Linked DNA regions of Macaca mulatta. The protein of the gene in region 1 purifies or fractionates together with the protein of each later gene. This does not show direct contact. Links are inferred from orthologs where the notes say so. Each region holds a gene or a part of one and is shown on either strand. Other genes may lie near its edges.

Evidence for each region.
Region 2: the proteins of RICTOR (region 1) and FBXW7 purify together in Homo sapiens (affinity purification with western blotting; 3 studies listed by BioGRID, with this or other methods). This does not show direct contact. The link is inferred for Macaca mulatta from reciprocal best matches to the Homo sapiens genes RICTOR and FBXW7.
Region 3: the proteins of RICTOR (region 1) and PRR5L purify together in Homo sapiens (affinity purification with western blotting; 3 studies listed by BioGRID and IntAct, with this or other methods). This does not show direct contact. The link is inferred for Macaca mulatta from reciprocal best matches to the Homo sapiens genes RICTOR and PRR5L.

The regions. Positions count from the first base shown.
Region 1 is NC_133411.1:40,050,513-40,054,165, reverse strand, and holds part of RICTOR (rapamycin-insensitive companion of mTOR), read left to right. Parts: intron 1-783; coding exon 784-919; intron 920-1,334; coding exon 1,335-1,534; intron 1,535-1,989; coding exon 1,990-2,116; intron 2,117-2,485; coding exon 2,486-2,650; intron 2,651-2,796; coding exon 2,797-2,873; intron 2,874-3,642; coding exon 3,643-3,653. UniProt on the Homo sapiens protein: Component of the mechanistic target of rapamycin complex 2 (mTORC2), which transduces signals from growth factors to pathways involved in proliferation, cytoskeletal organization, lipogenesis and anabolic output.
Region 2 is NC_133410.1:160,943,307-160,946,959, forward strand, and holds part of FBXW7 (F-box/WD repeat-containing protein 7), read right to left. Parts: intron 2,947-3,653; coding exon 2,805-2,946; intron 1-2,804. UniProt on the Homo sapiens protein: Substrate recognition component of a SCF (SKP1-CUL1-F-box protein) E3 ubiquitin-protein ligase complex which mediates the ubiquitination and subsequent proteasomal degradation of target proteins.
Region 3 is NC_133419.1:28,983,278-28,987,386, reverse strand, and holds the start of PRR5L (proline-rich protein 5-like), read left to right. Parts: upstream 1-1,214; 5' UTR 1,215-4,109. UniProt on the Homo sapiens protein: Associates with the mTORC2 complex that regulates cellular processes including survival and organization of the cytoskeleton.

The DNA.
Region 1 (3,653 bases):
TATCTTACAATTACCTTAACAATAGGACATTTTTGAGCCATGGGACAAAGTTCTTCATGAATACAATAGAAGAAAATTTAAGTTCAGGTGACATCCTCATTTATCCAGTTTTATATTCTAGCTACATTAAATCTTCATTCATCCGGCCAGCATCTTTCTTCTACTTTATTTCTTCTAACCATCTCATCATAAAATTCTTACTCCACAGAGATATTTTTTAAAATGAAGGTTTTTTTGTTTGTTTGGTTTTTGGGGTTTTTTTTTTTTGGTATGAAATGCTGCTATAAATAACGCCTGAGACTGGATAATTTCTATAAAGGAAAGAGATTTAATTGACTCACAATTCCACATGGCTAGGGAGGCCTCAGGAAACATAATTGTAGCAGAAGGGGAAGCAAACATATCCTTCTTCATATGGCAGCAGGAGAGGGAAGTACAGAGCATAGGGGGAAAAGCTGCTGATGAAACCATCGGATGTGAGAACTCACTCACTGTCACGAGAACAGCTTGAGGGTAACCGCCCCCATAATCTTATCTCCTCTCATGAGGTCCCTTTCATGACATGTGGGGATTATGGGAACTACAGTTCAAGGTGAGATTTGGGTGGGGGCACAGCCAAATCATATCATGTACCAAACACTTTTGATACATCTCTTGCCATTTATCCCAATGGGTCAGACCCAAAACATATTCTGAAAGCCTTATTATGTCATGAGCAAAGGTTAAGATTCTAAAATAATTGCTTCATTTCTTACCTTGTTGCTACTTGTGTTTTGATTTTAGGTTTGTACGAAGACTACTTTATTTTTACAAGCCCAGCAGTAAATTATATGCCAACCTGGATCTGGATTTTGCCAAGGCCAAACAGCTCACAGTTGTAGGTTGCCAGTTTACAGAATTTCTTCTTGAATCTGAAGAGGTGAGCTTCTGAATATTTTCCAGAGCAAATGTTTTCTATTGAATTTGCTTCGCTTCCCCTCCCTCTGTTTCCACCTTCTGTTTTGCTTTCATTTCTGAATATGCATAAGCTGTATTTGGAAACACAGGAAATGATCCCAGACCTAGGGTTGAATCCGGACTTAGTCACTAGTTGTGAGACTGGGCAAGTTATCTGCCCTCTGGAAGACCTGGTTTACTCTTCCATAAAATGGAGAATAATATCATCTCCATGCAGCATTGTGTTGAAGCAGATTAAAAAACAGCAGGTACTCACTGATTGATAGCTGCTATTGGTAACTTCATCATTATTAAGTTTTTGTACTTGATTGAAGTCGATTTTCTAATTACAGATTTTGAATGCTTTTCTCACAGTATCACAATGTATTTACTTTTAGGATGGGCAAGGTTACTTAGAAGATCTAGTAAAGGATATTGTTCAGTGGCTCAATGCTTCCTCTGGAATGAAACCTGAAAGAAGTCTTCAAAATAATGGTTTATTGACCACCCTTAGTCAACACTACTTTTTATTTATTGGAACACTTTCTTGCCACCCTCATGGAGTTAAAATGCTGGAAAAATGCAGTGTATTTCAATGGTGAGCGTTCCTAAATTTTGTTGCAATATATACATAAACTTTATTTTTAATGTAGTTAGATATGGTATGCTTTTTAGTCTGTGTACATGTGTTTGGTTAAGTTTTGTTTTAAATTAGCATTATCTTTGCTTTAATATTCTTTTTTACATGATACTTGTTATTAAATGCTTTCTTTCCAAAAAGCTTGTTTATATTAGGAATTTTTAAAATATACATTGAACTGTCTTTATGCTCTTCCCACTCCAGCATTCAAAATAGTAACTATGTGTGATGATTGATATGTTCATTGATTGTGGTAATTTTCACAATGTATGTGTATATCAAATCAAGTTGTACACCTTGAATAATACAATTTTTATTTGTCATTTATACTTCAGTAAAGCTGGAAAAAATATTTGTTTAATGCATCAATATAGTAATTTCTTTTAACCTTTCTTCTTATTTTTTTTTTTAAGTCTCCTTAATCTTTGCTCCTTGAAAAACCAAGATCACTTGCTAAAACTTACTGTTTCCAGCTTGGACTATAGCAGAGATGGATTGGCTAGAGTCATCCTTTCCAAAATTTTAACTGCAGCTACTGATGTGAGTATAATATAGCCAGTAAAACTATTTCTATAAACAATTAATTTGCTACTTTATGAATTTTGGGCTAAGTAAAATTAATTTTAAATTCTAAGAATATGATATGGAAATTGAGTTTACTTTAAAATTTTAGTTTCTCCAAGGAACTCCATATAGTACTCATATTTTTATATCACAGAGAAGCTGCTAGATAGAAAGGGAAGTATTTTATTTTACAAGAACCACAAAAGTATTCATATCAAGGGCTAGACCACCAATTCCAGTCATTCTTCCCTTTTCAAGTAGCAGGACTCTCCCAAAATAAAATCAAATAGGTTATTTATGGTGAAGGATTTTTTTTTTTTTAAATGTATTCATTTATCTTTATAGGCCTGCAGGCTCTATGCAACAAAACATTTAAGGGTATTATTGAGAGCTAATGTTGAATTCTTTAATAATTGGGGAATTGAGTTGTTAGTGACCCAGCTACATGATAAAAACAAAACGATTTCTTCTGAAGCTCTTGATATCCTCGATGAAGCATGTGAAGACAAGGTAAATGTTCATTTTTTATAATTTAATACTTAAATTTTTTTGAAATACTTATTTGACAGTTTTGTAAAAGTATATAATAGGCATTTTGGAACTAAAAAATTTTCTATTTTTGTGCAATTATTAAAAATAATGATAATCTCTTTTAGGCCAATCTTCATGCTCTCATTCAGATGAAACCAGCTTTATCCCACCTTGGAGACAAGGGTTTGCTTCTCCTCCTGAGGTAAATTTTAAGTAAATTTTCAGTTATGTTTTTTTGTTGTGTTCTTTGGCAGTGTATATTAAAGATAAATTCAAATCCAAATAGGAAGTACCCTAAAGAGTTTACCTTTTAACATCTGAAATAAACCTGTTTTAGACCTTGTACATCCTTTAATATTGAAACATTGTCTTTTCATTGTTTTGGGTTTTTTTTTTTTTTTTTTTTTTTTTTTTAATTGGTCTGTTCGTACTTTTCATGACATTTTCCTTTTTTTTTTGAGACAGAGCCTCACTTTGTCATTCAGGCTAGAGTGCAATGGTCCAATCTTGGCTCGATGCAACATTTACTGCCTCCCAAGTTCAAGTGATTCTCCTGCCTCAGCCTCCTGAGTAACTGGGACTAAAGGCTCACGCCACCACACCCAGCTGATTTCTTGTATTTTTAGTAGAGACAGAGTTTCACCATGTTGGCCAGGCTGGTCTCAAACTCTTGACCTCAGGTGATCCACTCACCTTGGCCTCCCACAGTGCTGGAATTACAGGCCTGAGCCACCGTGCCTGGCTGACATTTTCTTTATTGTGATTGGATTCTTGTGTTGTTGCAAAGATTGTGAAAATTTATTTGTAATTGAAGTTATAATAAATTATAGTTGACCTTTTAGTTTTATGAAGGAACTGTTCCTATAGTCTTTTAGCTCCTTATACTTTTTAAAATTTTAATTATTTTAGCTTCTTAAGACACTTTTTTTGCCAGACGCAATGTTAAAACTATTGCTTGTTTTAATTTGCAGATTTCTCTCCA
Region 2 (3,653 bases), on another chromosome or scaffold:
CCCTCAACTCTCTCACATAGGTCAACTCATGACTTCCCCACTTTATTATGAAATTATATCTCTACAAGTTAGACATTAAAGCACTGTAAGCCTTTAGGCAAGTGAATCATTTCTAGTTACTCTGGGACCAGCCCTGAAAATAAAGGGCAGTGTACAACAATGAGGCCTTGGGTGTGTCAGAGACAGACATGGTACTCAGAAGATGAAGGTCCTGATCTACCTGTCTAGTTGACCTTTTGTTGCTACAGATTTCTTTGCTACAGAATATTTATCTGAAAAAAAAAAAATTAAAATACTATACCTGCAGGGTAATTCCACATGCTATTCCTGTTAACTAAGAACAAGGTTTTTTCACTGTACCTACTTCTTTCACAGGACCAAAAGCTAGTCTAACATTCTTTAGCTTATTGAATAAAGTTTTTTTTTTTTTTAAATATTAACATTTCTGAAATTGGAATGCATCTAAAAAAATCTATGGTGTCTCAGATTTGATGAAATATAGTATGTGGTAACATTTGGACATTTCATTTAAAAAGCATGAACTAGCTAAACAAGCAAACGGTGTACAATGAACTCTCTAAAATATCCTGACTAAAATAAAGCTGAAATGCCTCTTCCTATGGATCAATATTAGAGAGTCCCCTTAAAATTGAGAAATATCCTAGATAGTAAGCAAAGAATATTCAAGTATTCCAAAACGTTGGAAAAAACGAGCCCTACCACAGAAAAAGTAAATCTTACTCTGAACTACCTTCTGATGAGAAATAAGCCTTTTCATACAAAATAAGCATTTTGGAGGTTTTTCTACAGTGATGATAAAACTATTGCTAATAGTGTAATTTTCAATCATGTATTTTCTTATAAAAATATTAAATCAGTGAAATCATGTGATATGAAATCAGAATGATATATGCTGTTCACACTATATGCATGTGCTAGCATGGCAACACACAACCATATTCCTACCTCTTTGGCTTAATCAGAGATGATAAAAATATTTAAATTTTTTTTAAGGCTATATAAGTGTCTGAGTTTTATTTTCACCTCTTATTGATGGAAAGATTTCCTTTTAAAAGGATGGGACAAAATTAAAAATTCAGAATTCTGAGGGCATGCATAGGAAAAAATAAAAATTAATTAACATTTTACAAACCATCATGAACCAGAGGCAAAATAACTCAGGGGGGTGGGGTAGGAATAATCCTTGGGGAAAAGGTAAGTTTAATCAACAAATGACTATGAAAATGAAAACTTAAAAAAATTCTTTGTAATTGCAGTGGCTTATAACATTTTAATAACAATAAAATATAATTTTCATTCCTCTAACCCAGATTCTTTAGTACCATTGACATTCTGGGCTGGATAATTCTTTGGCATGGAGATCGTCCTTTATATTCCCTCTACTTACTAGATACCAGCAGTGTCCTGTGCCCTCATCCCCTCAGTTACAAAAATGAAAAATGTCTTGAGACACTTTTGTCTCAACCAGGGGAAAAACTAATCCCTGTTGAGAGCAAGGCTCAAATCTTTCAGTTACCAACCAAAAAAAGGTTATCCTAGTTTTTCAGAAATCACCTGAAGGGTAGAAAATGATTTTAAAAATCCATTTAAAAGCAATAGTGCTCCAAGTTACTTTTCTAGCTACAGAAGAAAAAAATAGACACATTTATCTCATATTCATCTAGGTATTTAAAATATTAGGGTTTATAAAGTGAACACTTTAAAATCTGAAACACTAAAAGTCAAATAAAGTATCATCTTTATCAACCATTATTCCCTTATGCATTGATTAAATACCTAACCATTCATGCAGCCAGAGGTAGGCTAGTAGATTCATTTTACATTAGTATGGAGGCTAACATCATATCTTCACTTTACATAATTTATATTATTTATTTACAATGAATAACTGAGTGAGAACTTAATCCTTGCCATTTATTTTGCTAAACACTTGATTTATATGCATTATCTTACTGGAAGAAGAGATAAATCAATGTAATATCACTATCTTAGGTTATAAAATTCATAATATTCAGGGTTTGGTTGTAACCAATCTTCCCTGTAAATGTCCAAAAAATATAAATACTATTAAAATATAGTAATCAGGATTCAAGTACGGTAAGCCATATACAAGCATGGCACTGAAGAAAAGAAGCTGTATTAACTCTAGCTAGCATGGTTCTTAAATTACTCTTAAATGCCTAACTTACAAGCAATGCAGTTTAGAAAACTAGACAACCCAGAAATTCAAACAAAGGAGAAGAGGAAGGTCAGTCTTATTATTTAAAAAGCAATTTAAAAAAAATGTCAGTGCACAGTTACACAAATAAGTATTGGACTTCCTCAATTATGACACTCAAAAATTGAGTTCCCTTGTTTTTAACAGCATTTTAAAATTGAAATATACATCACATAACATTCACCATTTTAAAGTGTATACTTCAGTGCTTCCCAGTATATTCACTCTGTTGTGCAACCATCGCCACTATCCAATTCCAGAACATTCCATCACCCCAAAATGAAAATCTGTACTTACTGGCAGTTAGTCCTTCTCCTCCCCCCATTGCCAGGCAACCATTAATCTACTTTCTGTCTCTGTGGATTTGCCTATTCTGGACATTTTATATAAAGAGAATCAACATGTGGTCTTTTGTGTTTGGCTTCTTTCACTTGGCAGAATGATTTCAAGGTTCATCCATAGTATAGTATGTAAAAGTGCTTCCTTCTTTTTTTAATGGATGATTAATCCCTTATTTTGCAGCAATTAAGTGAGGCATCTCAAGTACTATGTTCAGATATGTCACCTGAAACATTTTCAGCCATTCCTGGAGGCCTGTAGGTGGCTGGACAGATGTAATTCGGCGTCGTTGTTGCCCTTGGCCATTGGCTGCTCTGAGGTCCCCAAAAGTTGTTGGTGTTGCTGAACATGGTACAAGCCCAGTGGTACTACAAAAAAAAAAAAAAAAAAAAAAAAGGAGAGGAAGGAAAAAAGGAAAAAAGCAAGAGTGAAAGCAAAAATAGATGCTTATTAATAATAGATTCTAGTACAAAGAATGATGATCTGGCATATTTCAATCATCAATTCAGTTAATTACATTTCTTCCCAGAGATCACAGGTAAACAAAACCTATTTGCGGTTCTTACAGTAAGTTTCCTCCCTCCTACGTAACACCTGCTATTATCGCAGAAATGCTAATTGCAACCAAATAACAGAATCTCCATGACAAAACTGCAAGTTGTTAATATATACAAATAATGTGAAAATATTTCCTTAGAACATACAAGTCCCACTTCTTCTATGACTGGTCTTCAGTGACATAAATAAAAGTTTAAATTTTCTTTATACAAAGGGTTGTGATACTTTATTAATGCTTTAAAAAACTCATACATAGAAATACTATGTTCAAATGTTTTGAATTTCAAGAATCACATTATTCCTTAAGTTTGCCCCAGATGCCTATAATATTTCCAATTTTTTTATTGCTATTTATAAAGCTTGGTCTGAATAGTTGACAGAACTCAGTCTTGATTAGAAATACATTTATTCAAAACAGGTATTAAGAACTTATATACAAAACTAAATAAGATCATCTAAACATTTTTATACAGTAATTTAAATTTTGAGATTTAACAGTCTCAAACAAACTTGAAAT
Region 3 (4,109 bases), on another chromosome or scaffold:
ATTGGAAAACTTGACATAAAAATCCACTCTTCTGGCTTTTGTTTAAAAATTTGCCGGCCCAACCATGCTGTTTCCACCTTTCTGCGTTGCTGCAGTTGGCTGGGGCTGAGCCCTGGCTGCCCCCTGAAGACTGGTGTGAGCTTTCCAAATCTCCACAGTTCCCACCATACACTGTTGCATCACAATGGGCCATCTCCACACATTTGTCGCCTGTCTCATACTTGAGAATATTTATTAGTGCCCAATTCCTTCAGGGACCTAACACGGTGAACTTAGGCCATAATAGGTAGCAGGGCTAAATACAGACACTTGGGATCCTGGTTTTCCAGCCATCTGCATACCATCTCCTGATGAGTGAGTGCAAGCAAGTTTCAGGGGTAATGTGGGCATCTAATTTGTGATTTATGGTTCTTGATCACTTTTATGGGCCAGCCCCTGTTCCTAAGAGTTTTGCATATATTAATTCATTTAATCCTCATAGGAACCCAGTCATCCTAGTTTACAGATGGGAAAACTAACCCCCAGAGAAAACACTTACTCACAGTCCATGGGTAATAGTTGCAGAGCCAGAATTTGAAGTCAGGAGCAAGTGAGGTCATTTTGCAAGGTTGCTCATGACCTAGTGTCTTGTTCATTATGGGGATTCAGTGGGTGCAAGCTTTATAATATTCATCTAATCTTGCCAGCTGCTGCTAACGTGCTGAGTGGCTGGGGATTAGTCCCGGCCAGATGTCCCATAACAAAAGTTAGGAGTTGAAGAGTTGAAGTAGATGACATTTGTGTTTGGAGAAATGATATGTCTCATTCTTTTCAGCTCTAACTTGGGGTAAGTTTCTGAAAGCAAGTAAGAGAAGAGGAGAGGGACATTTGTGATCTCTCATGTATAGAAGACTAGCAAATAGGCAGGTGGTCACACCTGAAGGCATGTCCCCTGACCCCTATTACATCATGCCATGGGCTGAATGTCCAAAATGCCTCTCCCAGCTCTGATTGACCTGGCTACTCTGATGAGTGAAGTCCACCAGGGAAGACATCGTGCCCTCATTTCTCATCCTCCTGTCCCCAGGAGTAACACAGAAGCAGTTAGTAACACAACAGCATTGTCCTCACATACACAGGCCTGCTTTGTTTCCCCACCACACAGAGCAGCGGCTGTAACAATGGCCCCGAATGACACTTTGCCCTCCTTTCTCCGATGTTGCACTTGTTTTTTTAGTCTGGAATTGGCTAAACAATGATTTCCTGCAGTGGGTATCAGCTTTTCATATTTTCTGCCTGCTTCTCTGTCAGTCTTCAGGCCCCAGGTGAGTGAGTGGCGAGCGGGCCCAGAGAGCTCTGGGCCCATTGGAACATTCCCTTTTCGGGAGGCTGGAAGGCCATGGTTCTTCACCTCTCCCCAGCAAGGTGGAACCTGCCCTGGAAGAAGAAACTGGATCAGGTAACACAAGAGAGACAATGAGAGGTTGGGGCTAGGGGGTGGGGCTGCAGGGGATGGCTGAGTATCCAGCCCAAGGAGGATGGGTTTCTGGCTTCAAGACATCCTATTTTCTTGAGAGCCACCATATGCTGTTAAATAAATAATGAAAAGCAACAGAGGTCAAGTTCAGCAGCCTCCCAATTAGGAAAATGCCCGCTGGCTGGCTGGCCCTGTTCAGTGCCTCTGATATCTCTGGGTGACCAGGGTCTTCATGGCCCATGTAGATTTATTGAGGTGACTGTTGCCTTAATAATAGCCGCTAGTACTAAGCTCTTTCTCTATGTACTGCATATGTATACCTATTACTGTATGTCTCTCACTGAATGATCAGTAATGATAGCAAACCCTTATGCAACGTGCCTCAGATTCTTGCTTCATTCAAACCCAGGCAGTCTGGTTCATCTGCGCCTTTCATCATCATGCCCCTTGTAAAGCTTTTTTTTTTTTTTTTTTTTTTTTTTAAACAACGTTGTGCTAATAAACCAAGGTCATCACAAGATTTCATTTTGAGAGGCAATGATGTATAATGATAGCTATGTGTATTGTGAGTCCTTTGCCCTGTGCCAGGCAGCGTTCTAAGTGTTTTGCAGCTATTTCATCAGATGGATACTTTATGATCTCTATTTTATGGATGAGGAAATTGAAGTACAGAGAATTTAAGTCATTCACCCGGGGTCACACAGTTGTTAAATGGCAGAGCCTGGATTTGAACTCAGTTTTCTCTTAAGTATTGTGGGAATCTTAGTCCTGCCCAGCCCTGCTGGTCTGGAGTTAGTCTGCTTCTCTAGGTCATGGGGTATAGAGGATGACATTCAGTTTCTGGCTTCATAGAACATCTGCACCCAAGTTGAAAGCTTAAGGATTTTTTTTTGTTTGTTTGTTTTAAATGATTTTTCTATTGGCATCAGCTAGTCTTGCTTGAAGAAGATGGAATTGCTCAATGATGACAGTGAAGGAATTTGAAAGGATAAGAATTGCTCAATGAGTGGTATCTCTTTTTTGGCCAGAGACCAGGCTAAGTTGCCTCATGTGTAGAAGAACATACGTGAAATATACAGGACTCATGGTATATTATGAAAGCAAACTTTATTTTTGCCTATCATTGTTCCTAATTTTTTTCAGTGGGTCCTCACTCTTCCCTTGCCCTGGGATGAAAATTAAAGCAGGTCCACAACTCTTCTGGGCCCCCTTCAGGAATCAAAAGTTCTTAAGTCACTTTTAGTTCCAGCACAGCCTCATTCAGCAATTGGGATGTCCAGTCCCAGGGAATCAGCCAGATCTTCGAATTTGGTTCCTAGTGGAGACTTCTCTCCCTTCTCTAGTGGGGCCTGCAGCTTGGAAAGGGGGTCTATGGATGGCTTCTCATTTCCCACATTAAGTTTCCATCCTTCTCTCCTCTGGCTTACTGAGGATTCTGACTCCTGGCAGGGTGAAGGGTGAAGGGAGAAGAGAGGAGGCAGGAAAGGAGCTGGAAGTCCTTACATGGTTAATGCTATGACAAGCTGGCATTTCACTGGCAGGTTCTGGTGGGTGTGTAAACCTAGTTCTTTCTCTCTTGGCACAGTCTTGTGGATAGTTCAGAGAGCGCCATTATTTCTCATCTTTGGGGATCTCTGAGTTGCTGGTCCCTTGAAGCTGGTTACCTAATAAGACTCCTTCTTAGTTCCCTGGCATCTAAGCAGTGCCATATTAGTTTGCTGGGGCTGCCATGACAAAATATCACAGACTGAGTGGCTTAAACCAGCAGTCCCCAGTTTTTTTGGTATCAGAGACCAGTTTTGTAAAAGACACTTTTTTCCACAGACCAAGGTGGGGATGGTTTCAGGATGATTCAAGCGCATTACATTTATTGAGAACCTTATTTCTATTATTATTACATTATAATATATAATGAAATAATTATACAGTTCACCACAGTGTAGAATCAGTGGGAGCCCTGAGCTTGTTTTCCTGCACTAGACAGTCCCCTATGGGGGTGATGGGAGACAATGACAGATCATCAGGCATTAGATTCTCATAAGGAGCATGCAACCTAGATCCCTCACATGTGCAGTTCACAATAGGGTTCGTGCTCCTATGAGAATCTAATGCTGCTGCTGATCTGACAGGAGGCGGAGCTCAGGTGGTCATGTGAATGATTGGGAGCAGCTGTAAATATGGATGAAGCTTCGCGCTCTCTCTCTCCCTGCTGTGTGGCCTGGTTCCTAACAGGCCACAGACCAGTACTTGTCCATGGCCCGGGAGTTGCGGACCCCTGGCTTAAACAACAGAACTTAATTTTCTCACAGATCTAGAGGCTAAAAGTCCAAGATCAAGGTGTTGGCAGGTTTGTTTTCTCCTGAGGTCTCTGTCCTTGGCTTGTGGAAGGCACTTTCTCACTGCGTTCTCACGTGGTCTTTCCTCTTGGCATGTCCAAATGTCCTCTTCTTGTAAGGACACAGTCAGAGTGGATTAAAGCCTACCCTAAGGGCCTCATTTTAACTTAATCACATTTTTTAAAGGTCCTGCTTCCAAATACAGTCACATTCTGAGGTCCTGGGGGTTAGGGCTGCATCATATAAATTTTGGGAGGATAGTTCAGGCCACAACAAGTGCTGTCAGCTTTTTTCTGAAGGTAAATTTCCATTCCTCC